Arabidopsis thaliana: one gene and its partners. The protein of the gene in region 3 interacts with the protein of the main gene of each other region in a pairwise test. Each region holds a gene or a part of one and is shown on either strand. Other genes may lie near its edges. The genes, in order: APC11, HBT and APC2.

Region 1 (3,754 bases), on a different chromosome or scaffold from region 3:
TGACTATAGAATTTATTTTGAACTGAAAATTATGAGTCACTAACCAAACGGTCGATTCATCAACGTAAATTCAAAATGTATATTGTTTTTCGTTTTAATATAGTAATGAAAAATTAACTAAGAACCAATCATATATTAACCAATTCAAAGGCGACGTGATACAAAAAAAAAAAAAAAAGTATTAACTACAAACAAAGACCATATAGATGATGAAGCTCACAAAAAGTTGCTTGATCTCTACTTTGTCCAAGCAATCAAACCAAGGACAAGCTTCAAAAACATTACTAAAGCTCTATCTTGCGTTTCAGCAGATGATCATACTCAACACTAACGGTCCAAATACAACTACACGAGATCATTCCAAAACATCCCCTATGACGAGAGCTGCAGACTAATCCTCCTCATAACTTGCTTACTCTTTGAACTGCCATTCTCTTCTGCACATTGGGCAATGAGCTTGGCTCGTCTGCGAATTCACCCATTTCAATATACAGTGAAGATGAAACGCGTGGTTGCAGGCTCCCCAAACTGCCCAAACACCAAAACACCAAAACAGATAAGGTCTAAGGCATGCAGTTTTGTTTTGAGTTATTACCATAAGTAAATGTTTAGCAATGTTTCCGTAAGCAAGAGAAATAGTGGGTGTTCTAAGCAACATATATAAAAGCGAAGACATGAAAGAAGAGAACTTTACTTAGAGGGCAATCATCTCCAGGAAGTTTGCAATCAGGACAACAACCATCAAAAGCCATCCGACATATCCCACATGTTTCGTCTTGAGCATCCCATGTCCATGAAGCAACTGCATGCCATCTATTCCAGGGAGAAACAATCAGTTACAACAATAGAAACTCCGCATTGTAAGAGCTCATGTGTTAAAGCTAAAGGGACGAGGAACCTACTCTGTTTTTTTTTTGGGTATGCAGGACAGAAGTAGCATAGAAAGTCAAGAGCAACAATTTCGTTTTTCTTCTTTTACTTGTGCAACAAAGCGAAATGCAGGCATTTTGAACAAACCTAGTCTATTAAATAAACCAATGGAAGATGCAAAAAGTTATTATGAATCATCAAGCTGGGAATCTAACTCGGTAAAGCTAATACACGATAAACAGACTTAAGATGTTTATTATCATATCAGATGATCACCATCAAAAGTCCTGGGATGATTTATCACTTAACCTAATATAAACTTTCCCCCAAAAAAGCTAAGAAGAGATGAAGCAACAAAAGGATACGCAAGATCTTGACTTTCATAGCTTCCTCCTGGATAAATAAAAACCTTCAATCAGTTTCAAAAACCCTGTTATAAGCCTAAAGATGGTTACAGACTCGTAAAATTAGAGACTACTAACAAAAGACTACACAAACAAAAACTCAAGGTATAACTCTTCTGTGCAACACGTATACAAGACGTATTTGAAAGTTAAGCCTTAAGATTAGATAAAAATATCATAAACCAAAACAAAGACAAAATATGAAATTTACGAATTGAATGTTTTCTCTTTCAGGCATTTAATCGAACAACTGGTATGCCAAAATCAAACTTAGATCAGTGAACTCCACAGAATCATCGGAATGAGAATGAAGAACGATCATCAGTACCGAACGCAGAATAAATCAGTGCCAAGCAACGGAATTTGAGCGTAATTATCAAGAACTAATTATCTAAAACTGGTACCACATTACAAAGTCCGAAAAACAAGATCAACAAGAACATACCTAAAAAATAAGTGTGAAGATCGATGGTGTAGCCGAACGATGAAATCGAAATAGAAAAATTCTTAACCGGGAAAGAAATTTTGCTGGCAATGGCGAGAGGATCGGACTTGGGAAAGAGCGTGACGAAACGAAACGAAGGAGAAAAAGAGACGGACGTGTTTCATTGATTTTGGCCCGAGAAATAAATTGGGCTTTAAGATTAAAAGCCCAAATAACGGGTTTGTTTTTACTTATCCAATCTACGAAAGTTATGAAGAGATCATATGATGTCACTAATCTCGATATCTTAATTCTTAAAAGTATTGAAACGATGGATTATATTAAAACTTTTTTAATTATGATATATACATGTTGGATATAAACATATCTCTTTTTGGATTTGATCATTCATATATCTGAGAATGTTTGATCATTTTTTACGAAGAATATGTTTATTTTCAATATTACTAGAACACTACAAGTTTACAACCAGTTAAATACCTTTAGTACTAGTAAATCTTATTTAAAAGAATAATTTTTTTTTTACAAAATCTTACGTAATATACTTGACAACCTGTAAAATTAGTTGAATACCAAAAAGTATTTTATCATATCCAAATATAAATCATTAGAGAAGATGCAATGTATTGAATACATTTTCTAAATCTAGTTATTAGTCCTATTGTCCACGAAAGGTAAATAATTTTATTGAATGTACATATTAGCTGTTATTCAAACTAAAATAATAAATATTTATAATTTGTATTTTGATGTACATACTTACATAGAAAACAATCTCTAAATTTAATTACAATATATATATCTTCATCATCTAAATGGAAAGTTCTTTTATTGTTCTCATATTATTCATTCATAACCAGAATTTATGATGTAATCTTGATGTAGCCAACTCAAAAACTTTGGCCAATAATTTTTGTTATTTGTACCAAGTGGCATAACTATGCATTATTTCATATTAATTAAGAACTTTGGTGCATTTAATTACAATATTTTTAATTGCCAGCTATTTGTGAGATCATCACTTGAACAGTTGATTGTTCCATATAAACAAACTCATGATAAAAACAATACACAACATACAACAATACAAAACATATTTGATACTAGACATACAAATTCCTTTTTATTGTTGTCATTACCATGACGAGGAAGAAGCTAAACCTATCTTACATCACCAATGAGTCAATGAGAAAAGCAACATTCAATAAGAGAAAGAAAGGGCTTGTGAAAAAAATCCACGAGCTTTCCGTTCTCTGCGGAATCGAAGCATGTGCAGTGATTTATAGTCCGTTCAACTCAAACCCTGAAGTCTGGCCATCGAATTCAGAAGTTAAAAATGTAATGGAAAATTTTGAGATGTTGACAAAGTTGGAGCAAGAGAAGAAAATGGTGAGCCACGAAGGTTTTATCAGACAAAACATCTCAAAAACTATGGAGAGTAACAACAAAAAGATGATCGATAATGCGGAGAGGACGATGAAAGAAGCCATGTTCCAACTTCTTAGTGGAAAAGGGGAGAAGCTTAATTTGACTGATAGAAACCGTGAAGATTTGTGTAAGTACATTGATCAATATCTTAAAGAACTTTATCACCACAAAAACAAAACCATAAATCAATCACATATTGAACCTGGAGAATCTTCGGGAGCTACAAATGCCATGACACCAACATCTGTTGTTGAAGTGAGTTCTTATTCCTTTCCAATTATCTCGATGTTTTCAACTCTCCTTGACTAATCAATGATTTCTCGTCTTTGAAGCCTATTATCTCTTCAATCCAGCGACCAAATCAGGTTAATATCTTCTCCAGTAATTTTCTATCTAGTGATGCTGACCAGTAAAGTTATTCTCTAGTGATAAATCCATTTGGTGTTTATGATCAGAATCCAAATTTTAATCATCTTAGTCATAATCAATATCAATATCAACAACAGTTTGGATATCCGATTTTGGTTCAAGATGGAATTTACAATCCGAGTCAAATTCAGAATCAACATGAGGAATGGCTGGATGATCATATGATGAATCATTCTAA
Region 2 (3,754 bases), 7.0 Mb from region 3:
ACCTAATATACATAATTCCTCATATGCAGCCCAAAGTAGAGGGTCTATTGTCAAGGACTGTTTAAATTGTTGAGCAGCATTCTTCCTTCTATCAGTATACCTAAAAGGTCACTGTTATATATGAGGAATCATCTCATCTAAGCCATTCAGAATCAAGAAAAAATGCATAGACAGAACAAAAAACGTACTTGTAAATAAGTCCAAGAAGGTAATGGCCTGCTGCACCATTTGGGATCTGCACAATAATCAGAAGCATGTTGTTATCTTCACTGAACTAAATCAATAAATAAGGTCCAGAAACTGACACACTGTTTTTGTAAAATGACATTCAGTAAGCGAATAAAGGCAAAATACCAGAGAACATTAAATACCTCCGCACCAGGTTCATTAACAGGGCAGAGTGCAGATTCAGCTTCATTGAGAAGGTCCATCTGGAAGCATGATAATGCGAACAAGTATCGGGACTGAGCCATTTGTGTTCCTTTACATAACAAAAAAAAAATATATATACAAAGATAATCAAAACGACCTAACAAAAGAAGGTGCAAAATTCTGACTAAAAGGCTAACAAGCAACAAGTCAAGAAACAATGCCACGCACCCTTTAGCAGATGATATGCACTGTAAGCTTGATTATTCTGCAGGTAGCTGGTGGCTAATAGCTGCAAATTAACCTATATAAGAGGAAAATTCAGAAAGTGATCAAACAAAAAGGCCAATCATTTATTGACATGATTTCTACTAACTGAAGCTAGAAACTGGACAACCACTACGAATGTTGAAAATATTCCAGACCAAAGGCTGAATGAATGAATACTTTCTCAACTACTATTGAAGCTGTATTAACCCAAATTTTAACAAAGCTTGAGATAATCCCAGAGACATTCCTCTAACAGTTGACTCATAGCTAAGTTCCAAGGATAATAAATACTTAAACTTGAGATCACATATATGGACAAAAGTCATTAACCCTCAAAATGCAAATTTTCCAAAGACCAAATCAGTAATGAGCATTGAGCACAGCTACTAGAGAAAACAAATTCAACAAGAGAGAGAAAAGAACACGAATTCATCTCCTAATTGAACACACGGATCTTGAAAACAAAGGGCTAAAAGGTAAGAAACCAAAATCAATCTCGAAGAACACAGTGAAGCTATCGAATTCCAAATCCAAAAAGAGACGCACTTTCGACGAATTCATAGATACCCAGAGGAATTACAAACCCAAAAATATCAAATTTACCATTCCAAGAGCTTCGATTTACAGAATTTGAATTAGAGAGGTAAAATCAGAGAGAGAGAGTGAAAGAAGAGGGTGATTACCTCAGAAGGAAACTCAGCGCAGAGACGCTCGCACATGAAAATAGCATTTTTGTAGACAAAATGACGAAGACTGTTGTTTACACAGTCCACAAGCATAGCTTCCATAGTTGTTGCCTTTCTTCCTCGAGAGAGAGAGAAGAGAGAGAAAAGAGGGTTTTCTGTTTTTTCTGCAACTTTTTATTTTTTTCTTACCATTTGGGATTTTTTTGAAGTCGTCGTGATTTCAAATTTTGATGCGGCACGTGCGATGCTCTGTTTTCAGTCTATTCCGCACGTGACAGACCCATTAGCCTTAAGTGTTAAAATTTGTATGGGCTGAGTCCGTGTGTTTTCATTTTTGGGCTTAGTTAGCTTATTGGGCTTTATAATTGACCATTTGAATATTAGTATAGATGAAGACAACGATGATGGTGTGATTACAACCGTTGGAAACAGGAAAACAGAGCCGATTCATCGTCATTCATAAAGCAAACACCTCTTCAAGATCATCTCGCGGTCGCGGATACTCCATGTCGTCCACCACATGTAACATTGCCATGAAATCGCTGACGATGTGAGTCATGTGACGTATGGAGAAGAACTCGAGGAAATCAAAGAAGTCGAAGAAGGGTATCATAATAATGAATCGAACTATCGAAGATATTGCGCTACTTGAACAAGTGTTTTTGTTTGGTTGAATAAGCAACAAACTATTATTTTAGCAAAATACTAGAACGTGTCTGCAGGAAAAGTTTCATATCTACGATAATCATTTTCTGATACTCATTTCAAACGTTGTTAAACGGATCATGAATCATGACTTCAAGTTAGAATACTTCAAGTTTCAACCATATCATCATATATCTGATGTTATCCATCACATAAACATTATGAGTTTTTAAAGGACCATTTCATGAACCATCGTTGCAATCTTGAATTATCAATCAGAAATCTGATAAATTTGAAAAAGAAAGATGAAAAACAAAGGTATTAAATATACAAATTTATAACAGTTGACAACATATAACAAAGCCCACAAGCTTTTGATTAGTACAAAAGAAGAATATTTCACTAAAACGTTTCTACTTTCTTGTACAAGTAATTTAATTTGCCAAATACCAATCGCTAGCCGCTTTAACCAAAATATATTCCACACTTCAAACTAAACCGGGTTTTGTACCAATGTAGTAAGTAGGTCACTCTCAGGTTAGCTTCCTCGGCAAGTTATAGGTCTTTTTCAGAAACTTAGTCGCAGGTTCATCGTAACGGTAACACAATACTCTTAAAAGTGTGTTTGGTTCTGTCGGACTCCACGGACCAGAAGTCGGCGGTAACGGAAGCTTCCCTCTGTCAGAACCATGATTCTCCAGACACACTGCTTTAAACCGTTCAATCAAAGAATCTGTATCCGTGCGCAGCAGCGGAAGTATACTCTTGACAGTCGTCGAAACCTTCTCGATCAAATCCAAAGGCAATCCGTCTCCGTTTGACCAGAAAAGATCGCATAGAAACTTGAAATCCTCTTCTACGGCAGCAGAGTCTTGAATTGTGAAGCCACGCGATGGTCCACCTGCAAGGAGGACCAATAAGAACCCGTCGAAAGAAGCTCTCATGATGTCCGAAATGACTCTGGTTCGGACTCTGTCATGAACCGATGAGGAGATAATCTCAAGGCACCGTTCGAGCTCTTGAAGAAACGGCTCAATCCTTGAGGAAGGAACTTCCCCGAGGTACAGACCATCCCAGAGAACATTGCTCAGATCGTGGAAGACGATCTTGTAAGCAGTTGCTTCAGACAATTGCTGTATTCCTTTCGAGCAATAACTAATCGACTGTTCAAATATTTTACCTTTAGCATCCAAAGCTGCAACTTCGGATTCCGGGAGACGATTCAATGTTTTTCTCCCAGATGATTCGATCTCTGTCCTGATATACTGCAGAGTGTTGATCCTGCAACAGAACTGAAGTATTTCCGCCGAGTCATTACCCGTCCCCAGCTGTGATTTTCTCCTGTGAGAAGCTACCATTGGCTTCTCCTTTTTCTTGAATACACCATGTAGTCTGGACCCGACCGTGCATCTTGTTAAAGCAGGCAAAACGGGTAGAAACGTATTCCGCGAGCCTAATAGAAACCATATAAAAACAAAACCAGAAACTCCATAAGTGAAATGAACAAAGCGTGAGCTTTTTTATTCCAAAAACTAAACAATCAACTGCTTACCGCAGGATGATTTCGCCTTTGATACATAATGCTGCATACACTTGTCTAGTCCTGACGTTAGCTCAGGAAGTAAAACTGGATGCAAAAGAATCGGCAACAAGAAAAACGCTTCCAATGTCTCATCTACCATCCTCAGTACATCCACAGCAGAAGGAGCGATACCGAGTTTATTCGATCTCGGATTCCATACCTACAATAGAAAGTTACAAAACCAATCAATATATGAATAAAA
Region 3 (3,754 bases):
AAGATGTCAGGAATCTCCAAATTACCAAACTAATCTGATGGAGCAGTGAAAATCTAACCAGCAAAAACTACCTGAATCCATTCTTTGATTGATTCCAAAACAGAAGTCCTGTAATCATCACCAGCCAGATCATGGACTTTCGCCTACAGTATAACATTGCCAAACAGGGTACAAGTTACTGACAATAGATATAGTGTTATAACTCTCTGTGAGGCAGATGAATAATCTGATGCATAAAAAATACCTTAAGGAGCAAAAAGATGGCAGAAGCATAAGCATTTTCAGCCATAGATGTAAATCCAATACTTCTAAGGTCACGGACCACCTTCCCAATGTTCTTCACCAACTTGTCATGTCCCAAACGTTTTCCTTGGGAACAGCCTTCATCAACATCCATTTCTCCGTTTTTATATCTCAACTTCTCGTCCAAATCCATGCAATCATCCTCTTGTTCTTCAATACCATCTCCGTCCATGATTGCGCTTAACTCCTCCAGCCTTTCCTTAAAATACCAGTGGAGTATTTCTAAGAACATAATAAAAAGAGGAACAATAAGAGAGTAATGATTGAACAAGTGGCAAACGTATAAATAAAACTTCCAAGCAATCAAACTACATCAGAAATCACACAAAGAACAAGCTTTCAAAGATGGGTATACCAGGAAAATGCTGAGGAAGTGTAGTCATCAGAGTTGAAGACAGCATTGACTGGAACCTCGAAAAAAGATGAACTCTTTCTGTATCTGAGTTCTGTCTATCATCTGACGACTGTTCTTTAAACGACTGCAAAGCATGAACTACTATGGACAGACACTTCTCATGATACTGCTTTTCAATAGAAATTTCTTCCAAAGCCTTGCATAACACTATCTGAATCTCCTCTCCATAATTCTGCCCAAAAGCACTCATTTTTAGTCAAAACTAGAAGTCAATTTCAGAATATTTTATAGCAAACAAAGAATCAACCAAGCGTGTAACTTCTTACATGATGTTTCTTCTCACTATAAGCATCAAAATGTTGCCAAAAACTCGATGCACCTCCCTTCTCAAAAGCTTGCTGAAACAAAACAAATGTATCATAAGAGAACAAACATACTTCTTCCACTTTTACTCTACACCAACAGAGCAGCTACTAAGTGGTACAAGCTAATCAGTTATGCAATCAGAAAGCTCCAAGACTCAAACTTTAATCTAAAAGGAAGACGTTTATGTTCAGTACCTCAAGTGATCTAAGAAAGTGATCACGAACAAGAGAATCAAGCCCATACTTGCAGAGACAATACACATGAGACACAAACTCATCTTCAACTAAGGAATCTCCAGTACCAGCAATGAGAGACTCTACAGTAGTGAAAAATCCATCATAGCTTTCAGTAATCTCCTGAATCGCATCGTCTGATAGAGTTTCTAAAATCTCTAAATTGCAATCAGAGGAACCTAAAGCTTCCATCTTTTTCACTCTTGAGTAAGTAACAAAACCTCCTAAAACCCTAATTTCTTGCCCAGCAAAATCACAATTACTAGGGTTTCACTGGCAAGAAGATAAAATCAGAAACCAATCTCAATTTCATTTCACTGAAGAAACAAAATCAAACGGAACACATTAATGAAGAAAAGATTGAAATTTACATTGATGAAGTTCAGAGAGAGAAGCTATAGAAGAAGATTCATAAAGTTTGGTCATTCACAAACGCAATTATAAAACGCTAACAAACGCAAAAACAAAACGGAATTAAAAAAGACGTTTTATTAGGCTCCATTCTGATTACTCTGTTTTTCAACTTTAGTTCAAAAAACTTGAGAATATCCGACTACAAAGATACGACCTTTCAATACAAAATCAGATCATCGTCGTGTGTTTAACTTTAACGAATCTAGGTTTTATTGAATCTCGACATGTCGGAGGAGAAAGTCGTCGCTGTGATCATGGTTGGTGGTCCGACCAAAGGTATAACATTCTCTTTTGGATCTCAAATTCTATTTTCAAAACATGAATTTTTGATTTTGGTTTTGGGTTTTTGCTAATGTGGATTGGTTTAGGAACTCGATTTCGCCCGTTATCGTTCAATACACCGAAACCATTGATTCCTTTGGCTGGTCAACCTATGATTCATCATCCTATCTCTGCTTGTAAAAAGGTTTCTTCTTTTTACTATTTCTTGCTTTTGATCCCTGAGAAAAGTTTGGTATTGCTTGAGTCGTGAAAGTTGTCAACTTTGAAATGTGGATTGCTCATAACTTGTTTTGATTTGACATGGATCGTTTGTCTTTATGTGGGTTTGTTCCATTTTAGTACTCTACACTTTGGAATATTTTCTTGTTGTTGTATGATTTGTAGTGTCAAAGTTTTGAACTTTTCATAGTTTCTTCAGGCTCAAAGGATGGGAAAGTTCTCAACTTTGTAATGATGATTGATCATATTATATTTGTTTTGTATTTGGCATGGACAGATATCAAATCTGGCTCAGATTTTTCTGATTGGATTTTACGAGGAACGAGAATTTGCTTTGTATGTGTCTTCAATATCTAACGAGCTGAAAATTCCAGTGCGGTAAGTTGTAGTAGCATTTGTGTTTTTGGTTTTTGGTGTGTAATGTGAAATCGAGAATTGAACGATGTTCTTGTTATATAGATACTTGAAAGAAGATAAACCCCATGGTTCAGCTGGTGCTCTTTATTACTTTCGTGATAGAATTATGGAAGAGAAACCGGTTTGATTTCTGATGAAATTCCCAACTTTAGTTCCTGCCTCATCAGTCATTTGTTTTCCTGATTGATCTTCCATTTCTTGTCTCTTTGAACAGTCACATGTTTTCCTCCTCAACTGTGATGTTTGCTGTTCTTTCCCTCTTCAAGGCATACTTGGTAATCTCCCTTTGAAATCGCTAATCTGCTTCATCGTTTTCATTTTCTTACTTTGATGTACTTCACTACTTTTCGTAGACGCACATCGAAGATATGGTGGTATTGGAACTATGCTAGTAATCAAGGTTCGTTATCCTGATGTTATTTTAGATGTCACTAAGGAAACAAACATAAAGATCAAACATAAACATGAATATCGCTTTTTCACTTCAGGTTTCTGCAGAAGCAGCTAGCCAATTTGGTGAATTGATAGCTGATCCTGATACTAAAGAACTCCTGCATTATACAGAGAAGCCCGAGACTTTCGTAATTATCTGCTAAACAATCCTGTTTTCTTAATTCCTTCACAGGCTCTGAAATTTGTTTAGCTTAAATTATCTACTCAATGCAGGTCAGTGACTTGATAAACTGTGGTGTCTATGTGTTTACTTCAGATATCTTCAATGCAATTGAAGAAGTATATAGCCAAATAAGAGACACATGTGAGTATTCATTATTGGCCTCTCTCAGAGACTTGCAATATTATCAATTAGAGACCTGCTTCATCATTTTCATGATTCTTTTGGTCTTTTCATAAGTTATTCATTGTATAATCTCTTTAAACTTGGCAGCTAGCAACTACCAATCCGCTACAAGGTCTGTTCCTGCAGATTTTGTGAGATTAGATCAAGATATATTGTCACCTCTTGCTGGAAAGAAGCAACTATACACATATGAGAACAAGGATTTCTGGGAACAGATCAAGACTCCGGGGTAAGTTGGTGGTAATCATTGTTTCAGACGTTCTTGGATTACTCCTTATGCTAAGAAATTGCTTTAAACAGGAAATCTTTGAAATGCTCGGCTTTATATCTTTCCCAATTCCGCGAAACATCGCCTCATATTTTAGC

What was found.
Region 1: the proteins of APC2 (region 3) and APC11 interact in binary tests that used the Arabidopsis thaliana proteins (3 or more experiments, as listed by UniProt).
Region 2: the proteins of APC2 (region 3) and HBT interact in binary tests that used the Arabidopsis thaliana proteins (3 or more experiments, as listed by UniProt).

The regions. Positions count from the first base shown.
Region 1 is NC_003074.8:1,751,461-1,755,214, reverse strand, and holds APC11 (anaphase-promoting complex/cyclosome 11), read right to left. Parts: upstream 1,927-3,754; 5' UTR 1,720-1,926; exon of another isoform or gene 1,264-1,719; 5' UTR 1,255-1,263; coding exon of another isoform or gene 1,226-1,254; 5' UTR 941-1,225; coding exon 903-940; intron 816-902; coding exon of another isoform or gene 814-815; coding exon 695-813; intron 529-694; coding exon 413-528; 3' UTR 74-412; downstream 1-73. Other genes in the region: AT3G05860 (MADS-box transcription factor family protein), read left to right, coding at 2,860-3,402, 3,480-3,512, 3,603-3,754. UniProt on the Arabidopsis thaliana protein: Component of the anaphase promoting complex/cyclosome (APC/C), a cell cycle-regulated E3 ubiquitin-protein ligase complex that controls progression through mitosis and the G1 phase of the cell cycle.
Region 2 is NC_003071.7:8,635,474-8,639,227, forward strand, and holds the start of HBT (CDC27 family protein), read right to left. Parts: upstream 1,828-3,754; 5' UTR 1,428-1,827; coding exon 1,323-1,427; intron 674-1,322; coding exon 601-673; intron 482-600; coding exon 372-481; intron 236-371; coding exon 189-235; intron 101-188; coding exon 3-100; intron 1-2. Other genes in the region: AT2G20010 (Gls protein (DUF810)), read right to left, coding at 2,504-3,423, 3,523-3,712. UniProt on the Arabidopsis thaliana protein: Component of the anaphase promoting complex/cyclosome (APC/C), a cell cycle-regulated E3 ubiquitin-protein ligase complex that controls progression through mitosis and the G1 phase of the cell cycle.
Region 3 is NC_003071.7:1,622,628-1,626,381, reverse strand, and holds the start of APC2 (anaphase-promoting complex/cyclosome 2), read right to left. Parts: upstream 1,753-3,754; 5' UTR 1,450-1,752; coding exon 1,219-1,449; intron 1,057-1,218; coding exon 985-1,056; intron 891-984; coding exon 659-890; intron 526-658; coding exon 245-525; intron 144-244; coding exon 72-143; intron 1-71. Other genes in the region: AT2G04650 (ADP-glucose pyrophosphorylase family protein), read left to right, coding at 1,896-1,947, 2,040-2,137, 2,450-2,550, 2,632-2,710, 2,804-2,864, 2,943-2,989, 3,078-3,170, 3,256-3,346 and 2 more. UniProt on the Arabidopsis thaliana protein: Component of the anaphase promoting complex/cyclosome (APC/C), a cell cycle-regulated E3 ubiquitin-protein ligase complex that controls progression through mitosis and the G1 phase of the cell cycle.